2 linked regions of the Tribolium castaneum genome follow. The protein of the gene in region 1 purifies or fractionates together with the protein of each later gene. This does not show direct contact. Links are inferred from orthologs where the notes say so. Each region holds a gene or a part of one and is shown on either strand. Other genes may lie near its edges. The genes, in order: iron-sulfur cluster assembly 2 homolog, mitochondrial; putative transferase CAF17 homolog, mitochondrial.

Region 1 (2,702 bases):
GAGAACATCATTCAATCAGACACTAGTGTCCTGGACGAGGAGTTGCAGAAAAAAATTCTAGAAAATGCCCAACTTGTTAGCAGTGTAAATATTTATATTTGCTACTGTTGCTGGTTATTTTTAGGCGTGTTGTAGATGGCTGATAAGGAGTACGAGCTGAGCGATTGCAAGGAGAGAATCGCATGGTTGGAGAAAAGATTAGATAACTGTGAGAAAGAATATCACCAGAAGGAAACGAAATATTTAGAGGACATTGCCAAGCTTAAAAGGGCGAAATATGAAGTCGAAAAGAAGGTCGAGGAGCAGCACATGGATGTGCTAAATTCTGATGTTGCGTCTAATAAATCCAGTGAAGACCAGAATGAGGTATTTCTCTTCAAAAAATTCGGAAAGCTATAAAGTGCATTTTAGGTCACTTTTTGGAAAGAGGAAGCTGAGAGGTGGCGCTCTGAATGCGAAGTCCTGCGTTCCAAACCACAATCAAACGAACGGTTGACTGAATATTACGAATCTCAATTGGGCGAATTGTTGCAAGCCAAGCAAATGGCCTTCTCAGAAACCAAAACTTTGTGGGGTGAAAATCAAGCCTTATATTCAAGATTAGAACATCTGACTGTGGTAAACAAGGAAATAGAAGGCAATCTAGAGAAGAGCAATGAAGAGTTGCTTACCACTATAGAAAATTACAAGAGTCAGCTTGATGCAATGACTGAACATATAGCCGCCCAAAATGATAAGATCACGAAACAGTGCGACGAAATCCAAGCACTCAAACATAAAATTGCGAGCAAAAAGTAAACATTCCTTTAATTTAATAATTTATTTACATTATTTACTCTGTATAAATTATGCGGTTTGTTTAATCGACCTGTATTTATTTACATATTTGCAAAAAAGTCTAATACAGTTATTGCACTAATCTGTTTAATCCAGTCTGACAGCAAAAGACGACCCACAGGAACACCCTTGCTCAGCTAACGGGTTATTGACAATCCTGAAGGAAGATTTAATTAGTTCTTCCCGGTAGTCGACCGTCGCTCCTCTAACAAAGTCCAATGACGTTTCATCAATCACAACTTTAGCTCCATTTTTTTCAAATATTCTGCAAAATCATTTGTAGCTAAAAATACATAATCGGTGCTCACTCACTTATCGTCTTCATTAATTTTCGAGTCTAGGTCAAATTTATACTGGAAGCCCGAGCAACCGCCCCCATCTACACTCACTCTTAAGAACTCATCCGAATTTTTACTGATATTTTTCAAACGCTCGACGCAAGTGTCAGTGATAATTAATTCCGGTTTTATGTGCTCCAAAGGTTTAATTACAGGTTTTGAATAATTTCGGGATAAAAAATTACGCACACTATTAATTTTAAACGGATAGAACCGTCTCACTAACCCTGACATTTTCATAGGTTAGATTATTTTGGCAGTGCCATAATTTGACAGTTAAGCGGCTCTTGCCAACAGTTGCATCAAAACCAAAAATTACTAGAAATGCCGGCCTGGAAAGCTGAATTTTCCGAATTTGGTCGCAGATTTTATACAGTATACAAATCGAGCTCGTTGACTATTTTGGTCATTTACTCACTTCTTGCTCGATTCTCTGCTGTGAATTACAGATTTTATAAAATTTTTTAAACTATACAAAAAAATAAAAAAAATGTGGGCAGCGATATCTAGGTGTCGGAAGTCAAAGTACAATTTTACAGTAACCTGTAAATCTGCGACAGTTGGTGCCATTTAGGTTAGGTTAGCATAACCTCACAAAATTCACGTTTTTAATTTTTCTTATCACAAGACCGGAATTCTCGCACAAATCAAAAATGGTCGAGCAGCAGAGACAGAGAATTGAGCAAGAAATGACCAAAATGGTCAACGAGCTCGATTTGGAGTATTTGCGCAAAATGCAGGTACTGTATATAATTTGTGACCAAATTCGGAAAATTCAGCTTTCCAGGCCGACATGCATCGCTGCGCTGCGAAATGCTGCGACAACCGGGAAATCTCACTCGAAAGTGTTCAAAAATGCGTCGAAAACTGCGCCTCGTCCGTGAACTATGCCCAGAATTACGTCCAAAGAGAGCTAGAACAGCTCCAAAATAAGCTACAAAGGTGCGTTATGGACTGTAACGACGACATTCGGGTGAAAATGGGGCCTAATCCTTCGGAAGCTGAAGTAAAACAATTTGCCAAACTTGCAAAAATATATTACGTTTTTTAGGTTAGTAAATATACAGCGCTGTTTGAAACGTGTGCCAAAAACTGTGTTGATAAACAAATTGCATACATGCCCTCGCTTTTAAAACGAATGAAATCTGAACTAGGAAAAAATAAGTGAGGTCGAGCAAACTATATATAGTGGTTGTTGTTTTTAGTTACACTTGAATAATAAAACATGTTAAAAAAATTAATTTGTGGCTATTTTAACGGGGATTCCCCGTGCCACACATGCCGCTCGGGTTGCGTAGAAGTTTATCTCTGATGATTTTTTTACGGCACTTAGGGCTTTCAACAACTCTGGCTCGTGAGTGTGGCAAGTGGGTGGCGGATCAAAGTGTTGTTTTGAAAAATTTACTACAAAACAATTAACGCCGTGTGCGATTTTCACATTTTGTTTACCTTTTTCGCCTTTCTTCCATTTCGCCTTATCCAGGTGTTTCCAATGGACTTTTGAACACGGTATCCAGTAACTCAAAA
Region 2 (3,582 bases), about 6.3 Mb from region 1:
TTTGTTGGAAATTTAAGCTTCTGTATTAATTCTGTTTGATTCCGATTTTTCCTTATTAAATTTCTACATTTAGATGCAGAGGAGGACGATTTATGGAAAACATTCGAATCCTGTGGCCCCATTGCCTCCGTCAGGATTGTAAGGGATGGGAAAACCGGGATCGGAAAAGGATTTGGTTTTGTCAACTTCAAAAATTCCGATTCGGTTACACTTGCGCTAGAAATGGAAAATGTTACACTGAAAGATAGGGAATTAAGAATCAAATTATATAACTTTAAAGCCGCAAAGAATGACAAAAAAATGCGCAAAGCGAAAAAGGTAATTTCTTCCACCTTTTTATAACTCGGATTAATGCTTTTCTAGGTAATAAATGCTGGAAAACGCAGATATGCGAAAAATGCGGAGAAAACTGATGACGTAAAAGGAGAATTTGAGGAAAAGCTGCATTTGAAGGGAAATCAAGCTTTTCAAGGCGTTAAGCATGCAGAGAAAAAGGTAATTCCACTTTGACAAGACGTATTTTCTTACAACTCTTTTACAGAAAAAGAAATTCAACAAAGGGTTGTTGCAAAAGAAAAAATTGGTTAAGCAGATAGCGCCAAAATAATTTTTTACTAAGTTCAATTATTGTAACACTGGACTAGGAATGATACTGAATAAACTTAATCCAGATCAGTGGTTTATTTTATGTACAGTCTACAGAAGTACAGTTCTTTGTCACCTTTCCATTAACTAATAAATCAGGTAACACACATCTAAGGCACAAACGAAACAAATTTCTATTCAAAATGTCTTTATGTTGGCAATAAGCGTCTGAATTGACATTTTGAATTTGATTCAATGCTGCCAACTTAATTCCAATCATAGGCGCCTTTGATTTCAACAATTTACGCGCACTTAATTTTTTCTTTGGGTGCTTCCTGGGGCCACCAGCTAGGTCTGGACGTTACGGCAACTCCATCTCCCAATTTTAGTTCCTTGAAAGCCAAAGTTTTCGCTATTCTCAGTGAAGCCAAACCTACGTCCCCTTCAATGCCCCTCAATTTGCCTAAACTAACATTTTCTTGGACGATTTTTTCGTCTGGATATTTCGTGGGTATTTTGCTAAAGTGGAGAGGCATTAACCGTTTCCTGACCACACCAGTGTGATGCACCCGAGCTGTTAACTCCTGCCCCACGTAACAGCCTTTATGGAAGCTAACACCGTGCAAATAATCACAGTTACATTCAAGCGGAAAACACTCTCCTGGAGGCAAATCTTCAACGCCCTCCCCAACTCCTAAACTATAGCGCAGCCAACGATAGTTTTTGCTTGACGAGTTTTGCGTGACATTGAAATTATCACCAAGTTGTTCGGGAACATTAACGTCACTTTTTGCAATTATCCGTAAACCTAAATTTGTGATTCTTGGGTCGCGATAAATCAGCAGTTCTTTATGGGCTTTAAATGGGGTTTCGAGCGGCGGATTTGCCAATTTTTGGTTTGAATTCAAGTCAAAGTTCTTCGTGTCAAACAAGGCGTAAATTTTTAACTCATCGCTTAAGCTTGTAATGTCGATTTTACGCCTGACTCTGTACAGTTTTAAATGTTTTTGCAAAATATCAGCCGATTTGGTGTCACATTCCACCAAATATGTGTTGTTTTCGGAATTGCGGTAAACAATAGCGTCGTAGAGAATCCGACCGGCGCTGTTTAGGAACATTGTGTACATGCAGCCCGGTCCTGAACTCAAATGTTCAATATCGTTCGTAATTAATCCTTGGAGAAAATTTGAAACGTCCGGTCCTGCCACGCGAATTAGTGACCTGTTATTTAGGGGCTCTAAAACGTTCGGTGATAACGTTGATAGGAGTCGTTTCAAAGATAAGTGGGATATTATTGGTTTCAATTTTAACATTTTCGACGGACCTAACCTAAAAACTTTGGTTAAATTTCTAATGGTTCGGCACGCAAACACGTACCCACAATAATCTCAACAAAATAAACACTTGTGTAATATTACTACACTTGCGAGATTGTAGTTTTGCCAATTTTTTTGAAAATGCAATGTCGTAATATGTGAGGTTAGATCAATTGTCATCAATGACAGTATTTTAAGCGCTTTTTTTGAATCGAAAGTTTCTGTGCTGTTCAAATTGTTTATTTATTGTGCTGAATATGCAACAACCGAACGGTTGAACATCTCTTGTAGTTGATCGGAAAAGTGTTTAATTTTTTGCACGGTTACCACATTTCCATCCAATCTCAGCATCCGCAAGTTGGGAAAATAAGTCCCAATTATTTTGGCATCAAACGAACCCATTTTGTTGTTGGATAAGTCCAAATACTCCAAGGAAATTAATCCACGAAAGTCTTTCCAGTTTAAATATTTTATCAAGTTATTGCGTAATGAAAGAATGGTTAACTTTGCTAAACTTTTGAAACAGTCTGGCAGGTACGTAAGCCGGTTGTGACTCAAATTAAGCACTGCCAGGTTTTTGGTGTAGGAAATTGCATTTTTCTCTATCCCCTCTATTCCATTTTCGGGAAGTAATAAGGCCGTTAGGTTTGGTAGATTTTTAAAAAAGCCTCGACGAATTATCACAACGTTGCTTAAAGAAATCCACAACTCTTCCAGATTTGGTAAACCTTCAAAACAGTCTTCTTGTATACTTTCAAACGTACTTTGCGCCACATACAAAATTTTCAACAAACTCGCATTTTTAAAAACGTGAGATTTGATGTAACAATTTTTCAAACTCAATTCTTTTATGTTTTTTAAATTATTCAATGCATCGTCGGCAATTTCCACAACATCATGTGGGCCCCATCTCACTGATAGCGTCGCAATGTTCCTAAATTTCTGCATTAAGTTGTTGTTAATTGACACAACGTGTTTTTTACTTAGGTGGCAAATAGTATTATTTGCATTAACTCGACAAGAAACATTACTGGCTGAATCTTGCGATAAATCTTCTACAAATTCCAAATGTGCAACATTTGTGAAATTATTAGCAGGTAATTCTTCAAAAGTGGAGAATGCATTAGATTGGAAAAGCTTGACCAATATGAAGATCACCGTCACACTGTAAAGTTTCCTAAAAATATTTCAGAATAGTTTGTTTCGCAAAAATTTGAGCAAACAACAATTTACCTCATTTCCGATTTTTTTAGTAAAACTGTACGTTTTTATCTGGCGCCTTTGTTAGATGTGACCTTATAATAATGGGCTGAGCATTTATATAATTCACAAAACGTTGCAGCTTTCCTGTTTTTAAAAAATAACTAGATTTAACGGAAATATGTTTTTGATGATGATGTTTTTCCACCAATGAGAAAAGAATTTCAAGAAAGGAATTGATTTAGGTTGAGAAAATGTGTCGGTAGGTATAGCTTTTCTGAATTTGGTTAAATATTTTTGAGTTCAACAAAAATATGTTTGATTGGGAGGTATTTTAACGCTCCGAAAAGCATCATTTTTAAATGAAATTTTATTAATTTTTGGTACAACTAGTTAATAATACCGCTAGATCCAGTTGTTTGCAGCAAATTTTCCAGTTTTGCAAGTACAGCGTGCACGAAATGCAATTATCACCTCCTTG

What was found.
Region 2: the proteins of iron-sulfur cluster assembly 2 homolog, mitochondrial (region 1) and putative transferase CAF17 homolog, mitochondrial purify together in Homo sapiens (co-immunoprecipitation; 4 studies listed by BioGRID and IntAct, with this or other methods). This does not show direct contact. The link is inferred for Tribolium castaneum from reciprocal best matches to the Homo sapiens genes ISCA2 and IBA57.

What each region holds. Positions count from the first base shown.
Region 1 is NC_087396.1:12,845,071-12,847,772, reverse strand, and holds iron-sulfur cluster assembly 2 homolog, mitochondrial, read right to left. Parts: upstream 1,533-2,702; 5' UTR 1,416-1,532; coding exon 1,150-1,415; intron 1,103-1,149; coding exon 925-1,102; 3' UTR 806-924; downstream 1-805. Other genes in the region: protein phosphatase 1 regulatory subunit 21, read left to right, coding at 1-84, 136-366, 412-798; protein FAM136A, read left to right, coding at 1,829-1,915, 1,963-2,181, 2,227-2,343; uncharacterized protein Sse, read right to left, coding at 2,413-2,579, 2,625-2,702. UniProt on the Homo sapiens protein: Involved in the maturation of mitochondrial 4Fe-4S proteins functioning late in the iron-sulfur cluster assembly pathway. May be involved in the binding of an intermediate of Fe/S cluster assembly.
Region 2 is NC_087396.1:19,132,113-19,135,694, forward strand, and holds putative transferase CAF17 homolog, mitochondrial, read right to left. Parts: upstream 2,103-3,582; 5' UTR 1,967-2,102; exon of another isoform or gene 1,963-1,966; intron 1,915-1,962; 5' UTR 1,899-1,914; coding exon 888-1,898; 3' UTR 667-887; downstream 1-666. Other genes in the region: uncharacterized protein LOC100142251, read left to right, coding at 1-22, 74-318, 364-495, 542-607. UniProt on the Homo sapiens protein: Mitochondrial protein involved in the maturation of mitochondrial [4Fe-4S]-proteins in the late stage of the iron-sulfur cluster assembly pathway. Operates in cooperation with ISCA2 in the maturation of [4Fe-4S] proteins.